Oryzias latipes: one gene and its partners. The protein of the gene in region 2 purifies or fractionates together with the protein of the main gene of each other region. This does not show direct contact. Links are inferred from orthologs where the notes say so. Each region holds a gene or a part of one and is shown on either strand. Other genes may lie near its edges.

Region 1 (3,650 bases), on a different chromosome or scaffold from region 2:
GGGACGCTGCCGAGGATAATGGTGCAGGGAATTCTGCTCAAGCTTCGGAGGCTGCGCCGGTTCCCCCCACTACCAGTACAAACGCTAGTAAACCGGATAGCCCTGCTGCCCTTTCTCCATCTCCTTCAGCAGCAGACGCCAAGAGGACGGGCCTGGATGTGACGTCCCAAGGAGTTCAGACGTCTACACTGAGCGGATCCAAACACGAGGACAAGGAGGAGAAAAAGGAGGCAGTACAAGAGTGAGTTTAGAAGAATGGCTTATGTTCCTGTTGTAAAACATATTCTGTCATGTGGTAAACCTCAAGTTTCTCTACCGATTAGATCCTTTTTTAAAACCAAATGAAAAAAGTTTCCTTTAGATCTTGCAATACAGAACTGTATTTTTCTTCAAAATATGCTTGAAATTTAAGTTGCCAAATAAAAAAATAGTTTCTGGACTGGCCCTTTAATGGAAAAATGAAATTCTGCTCTTTTTATTTTTCTGCAGTCAAGTACGAAAATCAACTCTGAACCCAAATGCTAACGAGTTCAAGCCCAGGTTCAACAGTCAGGTCAGTGTCATCCTGCAGCAGCTCACAACCAGGAATTAGACGGATCCCACATAACCACCATCAATAACATCCAAATAGAAACAACCTGATGATGATGTTTAGAGATTTTGAAGAGATCCAGATAGTGTCAGATCACGTCTTTAATCGGGGTTGATGAGATCATTCAGAGACTCTCCCAGTACGGTGAGCCTCGCCATCTGAATGACGGCCGATTTTCAGCGGTACTTATTTCTCGCTGTGGCCCCAGTTTGACAACTTTCTGTCCGACGATTCGAAAATTAGAGGAAATTTTTTTTATCATCTTAATAAAAGTAAAAAAATATATCATAAAGTTCAGGAGAACAAGATTCTCTTCCATGTTTGGTTTAGACTCCACCCACTGATTGTGCTGCCAATGTAACGTCACGGGCCAAAGCGGAGTTCCTGTGGCGCCCCAAAAGGGCTGCTACTAGAACGGCGCGCCTGACGCTCAGAGCACGTCGCAGCACCTTTGAATGAGTCTTCATGGGCTTGACTGGAGGCAGCGTTCGGTGTGAACGCAGCTTCAGTTTGTTGCTATGGAGATCTACATCCGAACCGCTGCCTTAAATTCTTCGTGGTTACACAACATGGTCATAAAAAATGAGGAATATTTGATCATGTAGCATGAAAGAGAAAGGTAAAAGAAAACAACGATGGTTTCCTGACACTAAAGGTAAAAATTAGAGGTTTGTCACAACAAACCATGTCAGTCACTTGTCTGTGTGACGTTAAGTTTCAACACAGCTTGAGAGTGCAGAGATCTATAAACCTCCGCATCCACAGATGGATTCAAACGTTTAGACCAGGGGTCGGGAACCTTTTTGGCCAAGAGAGCCATAAATGCCACATATTTTGAAATGTAATTTCGAAAGAGCCATACAATAATGTAGTGTCCCTTCCCCACACTGAGGCACGGAGACTTAACCTCTTTTAAAGTTCTTTATTCTGGTTACTGCAGACCGCAACAAACGCCGTTCAATTAATTCAGCAACTCCTGAATCTCTCCCGCCGACACGAGAGCGCTTCTCCCAACTTTATATTCCCCTGCTCCCGCTCCAGCCCCTCCCATTTCCTTATTCGGCCCATAGCTGAACCCCATTGGTCCAAACTACCTAACAACAGGCTGAGCGACAGAACTGAGGGCCAATTAGATCTCTGCTTGACGCGTTCAATGAACTCCAGAACTTTTAACGCGGCCCAACAGCCATCCTACTCAGTCCGCGACAATTTGTTTAAAACTAAATACACAAATGAATGTGTGCATTTGATTTAATTTCAACATTTTTAAAGTACAATAAGTCTGTGGATTCTTTTTAATAACATTGTTATTCTGTTGCTAATAAATGCTGAGTATTTCTCGTGGTAGTTTTGCTGATGGTCTAGTCTGGTTGATACGTGGTGAGTTTCTGCTTCGTTCAGGCGTTGAGGCTTTAAACGTGATCGTAGGTCTGAATGTTCTGTAGATGTGAGACATTCTTATCACATGCAGACGCGGAGCCAAACACACACTCACACGCTGCAGTGAGTGACGGGAAGCGGGTTTTACGTTTTTACAATCCCTGCGCGATTCACCTGCTGCCTGTCCCCACAACACCTCAGCCCCACCCTCTGCTTTCTCCCTCACACATCCCGTCCCCGCATCTGCGCGCTCTTTCTCAGAGACGGGAGCGCGTAGTTTTAGGCGCGTCAATTCACAGGTTTCCAGCTGGTACAAACTCTGTGAAATAATAGATAATAGTAACTGATAGCGCTGGCGCAGATTTCTCTCTCCAAGCACCGCTACTACTGCGCGCCTCTTGCATCGCATCGCGCCCGAGAAGGACTGGTCTAATGAAAAAAAAAAAAAACTATAATTAAAGATTTGTCTGCGAGCCACATGTGACCATCAAAAGAGCCATATATGGCTCGCGAGCCATAGGTTCCCGACCCCTGGTTTAGACCCTTGATTTTTGCAGCTGCTGTTTCTTTTATTGAGCAGCTTGCAGTGCTGTGAGTCCTTAAACGGTTGTTTGGAGAAGGTCAGATCAAGGTCGCTGTTTCAATGGAATCTGATGATAATCTGAGGTTTCTGCTTATCGTTCTGTGTTCCTGTCTGCCTTTTATTAGCCCAAACCCGCCAACACCCCCACACCCCCCCGGCCCCAGGGCCAGCCCAGCCCCTCCATCGTGGTCCCTCCTCCTCAGACTGTGTACGGGCAGCCAGTCTGCTTCCCTCAGATGTATCCGCTCACACCTGTCAGTCCTGGAGTTCAGGTGAGACTCGCCCGCATTCTCAAATGATCCACCTGGGGGCGCTTTACTGCTGTTGAGTTCAGATCGCCATAAACCTAACACTGAGTTAGCATGAAAGGCAGGTTTAATGAAAGCTAACTTGTTTTCTTCCGTATGATGTGATGATTTTTTTTCACAAAGGTTCTGTGTTTGGATGCATGAGTCCTTTATCATCTGTTTTCACTCCTAAAAGTAAACTGAATATGAATTTATGGATGTTTTATGCTTTAAAAAGTGACAAACTGTGAAGACTTCTCATAGTGTTTTTACAACTTTGTTTTTTCATGAAAGTTTTTTAAATGTGTTGCTTTAAGAACAACTTGGTGATCCAACATCAGATTCAGACGATACATAACCAGAGTGGTTCTTCTTCCCTTTTCTCCCCCTCCTCCTGTCTCTCTCGCTCCATTAGAAAAGCATAATATGGAAGGTTTGTGCATTTTTCTAGATTTTTTTTTCTTTCTTTTTACCCCCCGTTTTTCTTTTGAACCCTAATCGACACTGAAATGTTTTGCTTGCTTGTTAAATATCCATCAGATGTTGGTTTGCCAACTTCTTATTGCAATTGAGTGGCCCTGAACGCCACGTTTTGTTTCTGTCGACCAAAGACGTGTCTGCAAGCTAAAGTGAATGTACGCCTGGTTGTTCCTGGTGCAGTATTTCTGTGATGGACTTGCATGATGTTATGGAGACGTTCTGAGCAGACTTTGGGTTCAAATCCATTATTTATACTCTGTGCATGTTCCCCCCAGTAAAGAAAAAAAAAAACGAGCTTTTTGCTTATTCTTTATGATTATTGTAATGT
Region 2 (3,650 bases):
ACACACGTCATCATCTGTCACACAAATAATGCAATGTTGTTGTTTTAAATCTCAACACCAGAATAATCCAGACGCCCTTTGTTAACCCTTTGACGCCTATAAATGAAAAGATGCATCAAACCCCTTTAATTTAGCAAATACATGAAAGCAAAAACACAACGGATTTTTTTTTCATTGCTGAGAATAATAATTGCTGATAATAATAATAATAATTCAGTCATCAAGGGGTTACACTTTTTATGAGGTTACAATTAAATTCTTATGGTTGCTTGAATCCCAAACCCATCATATCTTTACATTTTTTTCAGCTTCCTATAAAGCAGCTTTGAAAAAATAAAATTCAAACAGAAACAAAACTTTAAACTTTGATGCTCATCATCTCAAATGAGATAATTCATTCCAGGCATCATGTAATTCAGAGATTATATTTATATGCAAATGCATTTTAATGATAAGAGCATCAGTGCAATAACCTGGTTTTGAATTTAAAGTGCATCAATACCTGCTGCTCTGTCCGATCAGATAAAAAGATATTTAAAATCTTCTAAATGAATACATCTCATCTTCTATGAAAGTTGGTTGAAAAGTTGTAAAAGTCTGTTACCTTTAGTGTGATAGGTGACAGCAGCTTTAAGGTCAAAGGAGCCCAAGCTACACCTCCTGCTAGTGTCTTTAGAATGGATCTGTTCTTTAGGAGAGCCAAACAACAGCGTGGTCTGTTGGCCCTGTGCAGACTTGGCACCGTTGTCTTTACTGGAGGTTGACATTGAAGTAATTGCACCCTTGGTCTCAGCTTTAGTCTTGCCCTGGCTACAAGGAAGCAACTTTGTCTCCTCCTCGCTGACCATGCAAGCAGGAGAACAGGGGTTTGATGCTTGGCAAGGGGCACAAGTTCTTTTCTGCGAGTCTTGAGACAAAGTGCAAGATTCTACCAATGACGGCATAGCGTTGAGGCAAGGATGGGTGGTCGTGGTCGTCACAGCCCTAGCCTCGCTCTGAGAAGTCACAGGAGTCTGGTCCTCCGCAGCTATGAGCCCGTTTCCTCCGTCCAGCCCCAAGTTGGGTTCGTTGATGAAGGACAGCCCCCACTGATTCTGAAAGATGTCTCTCAGGGCTTTCTGATTTGTCTGAGCGGCCGGTGGGTCAAGGTGACGAGCGCTGGGGAGCAAAGGTTGCATATTTAAAGGGTAGATTAAAAGAGAACACTTCTGAAGTTCATAGGTTTCTCCATCGACAGGACTGGTTGTAGAGCTACAGTTACTGTCCACAGACGTTGCTACATTCTCGCCACTTGGAATAGATGGAGCTGATTGAAGACTACTAGCAGCAGGAGCAAAAAAGATCCCCACAGTCGGGCAGCAGTTTCCATTTCCAGAAACAGGACCATTAGTAAAGCTAGCTGAGGTGATCGTTTTCATAGCAGACATTGGAACCTGTGACATTCTCACAGGAGGAGGAGCTGCCTCTTCTCCACCTTGAGCTACTTTGAGGTTCTCTTTTACTTTACTTGCATAACTGATCTTGGGAACAATTTTAGCACTGCTATTGTCCACAGGAAAAGCTGGAAGGGGCTTAAACAAAGTCCACGAGTCCTCTTTAGAAGGTGAGGAGTTCTTGCCTTTCTGCTTTTCCTCCATTTTTTTATTAAAAGTGGCAGCTGCTTTGCCGTCAGAGTTTTTCCTCTGACATTCGCCAGGTGCAGCTGACTGGGTTTCTGCTTTATGGGTGGATTTAAAGCCATCAGTTCTACAGGAGAGTCCTTTCTCGGCCGGATCAAGGTTCAAAGCCCTTTGTTCCTGCATACTGTTGCTGGGTTGCGCGTCCTTCTCCTTTTCTTTTGTCACATCAGCAAAGTTCTTGACGTTGTTACACCGGGTCCTGCGTTTCTTTGGGGTGGTGTATCCACCCTCAGAGCCGCTCCCATCGTTATCCTTGCTAGAGTAGCCATTTGTAATTAAGCCACAGTTTACAACACCGTTCTGAAGCAAAGCAGAGTCTTTCTTCTCTGAAGGCTGGGCCTCGTGAGGACTCAAATCTGGGGTCTTTTCCTTCTCATTTTTAAGGTCCATAGTCTTCTTGTAGTCCAATCCTTTGTTGCTTACTTTCATAGCGGGTGCGTGGTGTCTCTGTGTTCCCTTTTGCTTCACATGCGAGTTACTCAAGTGTCTGTTACCATTGCTGCTTGAAGAATGGAGCATACCAACAGCATCAGGTAGGTGTGCGTTCTTCTCCCCTTCCCCGTCACTGACGTTTACTTTTTTATTGCCTGCAAACAGAATTTAAGTCAGTATATGCTGATATAATAGTCTATCAATGATTTCAAAAATATACAAAAGATGTTACACCAAAAGCAAACTCCAATGTGTAACTGAGCCTTACCCCTACACCTTAACCCTTGTGCCATCTTATAGGGTCCAGATGACCCCACCCTTAGATTGACATGGTATCCCTACCACGACAAAGGTGGATAAAGGTGGAGAGGATTTCATTTAATCCGTGGACACCAGTGAAGATCACAAATCATTGAAGAAAAAAAGGTTCAGCGAACTGTCTAGTGGGTCTAGATGACCCAACTCCCAATGTTACAGTGCCTAGGATAGCACAAGGGTTAAAGGCCCTGAAAAGGGGGTAGAAAATGCAATAAACCTGCAACTGTTTAATGCACAAAATATGAGTGAATACACTGTTAAAAATATAGACATTAGGAAATAACATTTCCAATGTGTAACCCTACCAGACTCACAGAAAAACGCAAGTTATAAGATGAAACTGTTCCTAGAAATAAAAAATAACTTCATATTTACACTAAAAATTCAAAATAAATCTTTGCTACTTTAGTTTTCTAGATTACAATTAAGTACAGACTTTGTTTTTTTACACCCTTTCATGCCCTTTGAATTTGAAAAGTCTGCAACACTTCTGCTTACACTTTCATATAAAAGAGAATTGGAAAACCCTTCAAACATGCGGGGTGATTCCATCTTTTCTTCTTACAGAGCTAAATTCACTCAGTTTTCTGGATTTTTTCCACAATGGTTTAGTCCACGACTTTTTTCATTTAAGTAAAAAGGCCTGACATTCAGTAAAGAATCAATACGCCAATGTTTACCTTATAATTAAAAACTGTGGCTTATGCATGACTTTGGTAAAAACAAACAGAACATTTTTAAGAGGCCAAGAGTGGAAAAACTCAACAACTTCCTTATGAGAAAATGTCAGGTCATCATTCTAAAACCACATTGATGATTTGGCTGAACAGATAATATAAAAATAATCAAAGCTATTTTTTGTTGTCGATGTTATAATTGTGAATTTAAAATTGAAAAAAAGACATAACCTAAACCAAAGTTGATAACTGTGAGAAACATCACAACCCTGCATCCAAGTGCACACCTGGATCATAACAACATTCTGAGAAAAGACTAAAGAAAAAAAAATTGAAAATCTTTAACTGCAAGAAACTAATAAAAAAAAAAAAATCTTGTAAGCCATAACGCGCATACACAAACACACGCGCACATATACAAATAATTGGTTTAAGAGCTTTTGATAAGCAGGTGTTCGCTTTATGAAGCTTTGCACAGTCAATGAGTCGGTCTCCAAGTTATCCCCTCTATACAAAAAATCATATGAGAATGCACTTATATACA
Region 3 (4,402 bases), on a different chromosome or scaffold from region 2:
CCCACGAAAAGGGATCCAGACAAGAAAGTACCAGTGGTGAGAATCACTGAGCTGGCGGTGATTGGGTTGAGGACATTTTCTAATTTTGACAGTAAAAAGAGAAATAAAATAATGTAATTTATCCACTCTCAGATTCTAGTGTCATATGTGTGTGCTGCATACCCAAACTTATCCCAGTTACTCTGTGGCTGCCAGGCTCATCTGGATTTGGTTCTGCCACCAGTAGGTCCTCCACAGAGCCCTCCAGGACTGTCAATCTACTGATGGACTGCAGTTCACCCTGCAGAAAAACACATAAGTCTGTCATGACATTTAAAGTCAATCTGACAATTATTAGTATGTGTATAATACCTGAATGAATTCCCTGTAACGCTGGCGGTCCAGCTGAGCCCTCGGCCCCCACACTGCGGGCCCCTTTCTCCGATTCAAGATGGAGAAATTAATCCCAGCCCAGTCTCCAGCTCGTCCACACAACCCATCCAGAGCATCTACCTCCCTGACAAGGTGACCCTTCCCCACTCCTCCCAGCGAGGGGTTACAGGACAGCGCACCTGGTAAAACATTGATCAAGTAGGAACAATCCATATGCGTCCAGCTGCTCAGAATTTAAGATACATTTTTGTTCATAAAATCCTACCAATTGTGTGTGTTTTCTGTGTGACCAGAAGCGTCTCAGCTCCCATTCTCGCAGCAGCAGCCGCCGCCTCGGTCCCTGCATGACCTCCACCCACCACAATGACATCATAACACTGTCTGGACAGGTGACTGATGCACCTGGAAACCAGAGAATGGATCATCCGCACAGGTTGGAGCTTCATGTGTGATCCATACCTGTCAAAATAAGACTCAAACACTTAAAAAGTTCAACAAAACTGCTTTTCTCCCCAGACATCTTCTATGGCAATGTTATAAGTAATAATACACTTCAGTATAACAGCAGACTGACCTGATAAGAGCAACAATTCTTATAGATCTAAGCTTATTACTCACATGTTATACTTTTACATACTATTCACACTATAAATGATATCCCCCAAATACAAAAAGGACTTACAGTTTCTTGATTATTAAAAGAAATATGTCAATAATAACTATCCAATTTTAAATTAAGAAAAAGACAAACAAAGAGCCTTTTTTAAGAAAAATTACAAAACGCCCAATGATCTTCCCGGGCGCCGCCATGATGGTTGAAGCTGAAAACCGTAATACCCCTAATCCAGGCGCAGCCAAAATTTGGCATCTTTATGCAATATGTCCTTAAAAGTTTTTGATTATGTATAAATCATATAAAATAAAGTTAAAGTGCAGTCACTGTTGTTAAAATGAGGAAAAGCGGAGTTAAAAATGTGTAATAATAATAATATTAAATGCCACATTTTACAAGCAACGTGTTTTGTGTAGATACTGCCACGTGTACAGATCAAACCCCCTGCTTTGGTGACAGAAAATTGTGATTTTAAAATAAATGAATCTGAATCAGTGCAGAAATTACTCCGTGTACCCGCTCGCAGTAGTAGGTCAAAAGTGCTAAAGCACATCTCTGCCCCCTCCCCCTTCCAGCCGGTTTCCAGTCAGCCGAGCGCGGATTGAGTCAAGTGAGCCTACCGAAAGGTGGTGTTGACCGACCGCAGCAGGTTTTCAATAAGAAGCCTGATAACTGAAACCTCGTAAGGAAACTGACAATAACGCCAAGTACTAACTTTTCAACCGAAGAGTCAGCGGCGTCGGAGCTAAGGTTACGAGACGGAGGGAAGAAAGTAAATCCCGAAGGAAGGAAGGCAGGCACTCGAAGTGAGCTTGAGGATCAAAGCTAATGCTAACTTAGCTTGTTGCTATCGCTAAATATTTACACGGAACCGAGTGTGTTTTAGGTATTAGTTTGGACTTTACTTTTGTGGTTTTAAAGTAAATATATTTGGTGGTAAGAGGCTAAGTATATCCTGTATTTAATTCAAGTTTTTTTGCCTTAATATTTTAGGCCACAGTCGATATTTGTTAGCAGTACTAGCCGGTCTTTAAGGTTGGACCGGCTTTCTGCTTATTACGATAGGTGATATATAGGCAAGGAAATTTGGTTTTGTTAGTATTTTTACGTTGGAAGGCACCCTGTTTATTGGGTTTGGCTAATAAAGTGGTACTGTCTAAGCCTTGTGCGTCGCAATGCTAAAACAACAGCAGCCTGGCGCAGGCGGGAGAAAGACGTCTAACGGAACGTCGGGGCCCGGCGGTATGTCTTCGCCAGTCAGCGGGATGAACAGCGGCAGCAGGACACCCGCTGGAAGGTAGGCCCGTTCGGTGTCCCTCCTTAGGACAGGCCGAGGATTCTCTCTGGTGTTTAGAAGGCCTACCGGTTAAAACGCAGCGTACCAGTAGGCGTGGCTCTCAAAACAGAGCTGCTTTCTAAACCAATTGCATTAATTGTCTAGTGATTGACAGCAGGGATGGACAAACAAGAAGGCTTTATTCTGATTTAGCTGAACCAGAAAGGTGGGGCTAAGTGTGTTGAAAGCACCAAACAGCAAGTCGCGGTTAGGTTGTGTCGGATTGTCAGAAAGAGGATCCCTTTTCGACAAATATCTCGACTTTGAATATTTATCTATAACAAAACATTAAAAGTAAACTTACGCGTAAACCTAACAGACCAGCCACTCGGGTGTGCATTTTGAAGACGTTTTCTAGTGTCAATGTGGCTTCGTTTTGTAACACTTGTACCTGGCAGTAGTAACGCAGTTCCACGTTGGCATAAAAGCTAAATGTTTCTCTCACATCGATTAAAACGCCTTTAAATGGCCAGATCGAAAGATAACTAGTCTTTCTTTTGTTAAATAAAAATTCAAATGCCTGTGGAAACACTTTGAATTGTGTTAGTTACCACAAAGTGTGGTATAATCTTCTAATAATGCTCCGTATATTATTTTTGTAAAGAAAAACAATCAGTGGGCTCAACTTTATGAAGCAAAAATATGAATGGATGTGCCATTAACTCTGGTTTACTTGTTTTTTTGTACACATATTTCATTTGCATTTAATCATCTAGCAGGAAATACAAACAATCTGGATTATTTGCACTTTTTAGTACCCAGGTGTTTATTTATTTATTTATTTAGGTTTATGACGTCCTGGATTAAAATCAGCCAGTGAATCTGATCATTTAAAACAAACCAATATCAACTATGACTCTTATCAGGAACCACAAATCACAATATGAATTGAATCGTTAAAATAAATCGCTACACCCCTATCAAATTAAATCAAGAGAATAGACTATATGCAAGCCTACCAACATTTAACTAAGCTACAGATTCGGTGAACTCTTTGAAGACAACTATATTTCAACCTTTCAAACAATTCCTTTTTTTTTCCAGGAATCGAGCCTCTGCAAAGCCATCATTCCAGGCAACTCCTGTGAGTGTCATCTATCAGAAATACTCATCAGTTAGAAATCTTTTGCTCCACATTAGACCATAAAAAGATGGGGAATTAAATCATCCAATGAATGTTGAAACATTAGTTTTGCATTTGGGAAAACAGGTTAACAAAATCCTGTGAGCGACAAATGCCAACCTGTGACGAAAAGTCATGTTAATGAGTTAAAGTTCTGTTGAGTCAAAGAGTTCTGTGTTGGCATAAAGAGAGTATTCAGTGATTTTTGCAATTTCACCTCCGGGGTAAACCAAAAATGTTCTTTCTAATTTTGATGCTCACTGTTTTACTAAAATAATGGCTGTTTTTCCTTTACAGGTCTTTGAGGGAGTCTACAACAATGCTAGAATGCTTCATTTCCTCACAGCTGTTGTGGTAAATTGTTTAGATTATTGCCTAAAATATCTTTGTGAAATTGTGGCTTTATTCAAGCAAAACGTGTGGAAATATTTCTATATTTAAGTTTTTTTTTTTATTATAGTTTTCTCTTATGTTTTGGATTATGCCAGGTTGCTCCAAGTTAACTGAGAATTTGACTTTTGCTACCTGTTTAATTTTATTTGTACATTATTTTTTCATACTTAATTACACTGCTCACAAAACCCTTTGACCGGACCAAAATTTACCCCTTTAGAAAGATCTGTGGGACCAAAAGGAGTTATTTTAACCCAAATATTACTTTTTTGCGTGACAATAATTAAGAAAAAGAATCTAAAAGTGGATAAGTTTTCTCTCTCGCTTGCAGGGGTCCACCTGTGACATAAGAGTGAAGAATGGCAATGTTTTTCAAGGCATTTTCAAGACTCTCAGCTCCCGGGTAAAACGCTTCTCTTGGCTAGCCAGAAATTGCTTTGTTGCTTCAAAAACATGATTAGGACTATTCTTTTGCAATAAGTTTATTTAAGGTTGATGTATAGCAATCATTTTAAAGTTCTGCTGTCTTTAAAATGCTTTAGTGTGAGTTGGCCGTGGATGCTGT

What was found.
Region 1: the proteins of nufip2 (region 2) and atxn2 purify together in Homo sapiens (affinity purification with mass spectrometry; 3 studies listed by BioGRID and IntAct, counting the BioPlex papers as one, with this or other methods). This does not show direct contact. The link is inferred for Oryzias latipes from reciprocal best matches to the Homo sapiens genes NUFIP2 and ATXN2.
Region 3: the proteins of nufip2 (region 2) and ataxin-2-like protein purify together in Homo sapiens (affinity purification with mass spectrometry; 4 studies listed by BioGRID and IntAct, counting the BioPlex papers as one, with this or other methods). This does not show direct contact. The link is inferred for Oryzias latipes from reciprocal best matches to the Homo sapiens genes NUFIP2 and ATXN2L.

The regions. Positions count from the first base shown.
Region 1 is NC_019867.2:7,484,016-7,487,665, reverse strand, and holds part of atxn2 (ataxin-2), read left to right. Parts: coding exon 1-241; intron 242-489; coding exon 490-553; intron 554-2,680; coding exon 2,681-2,827; intron 2,828-3,257; coding exon 3,258-3,275; intron 3,276-3,650. UniProt on the Homo sapiens protein: Involved in EGFR trafficking, acting as negative regulator of endocytic EGFR internalization at the plasma membrane.
Region 2 is NC_019872.2:16,922,573-16,926,222, reverse strand, and holds part of nufip2 (nuclear fragile X mental retardation-interacting protein 2), read right to left. Parts: intron 2,267-3,650; coding exon 605-2,266; intron 1-604. UniProt on the Homo sapiens protein: Binds RNA.
Region 3 is NC_019877.2:7,560,804-7,565,205, forward strand, and holds the start of ataxin-2-like protein, read left to right. Parts: upstream 1-1,586; 5' UTR 1,587-2,160; coding exon 2,161-2,282; intron 2,283-3,365; coding exon 3,366-3,405; intron 3,406-3,741; coding exon 3,742-3,798; intron 3,799-4,168; coding exon 4,169-4,240; intron 4,241-4,379; coding exon 4,380-4,402. Other genes in the region: protein MTO1 homolog, mitochondrial, read right to left, coding at 1-79, 163-280, 352-551, 638-818. UniProt on the Homo sapiens protein: Involved in the regulation of stress granule and P-body formation.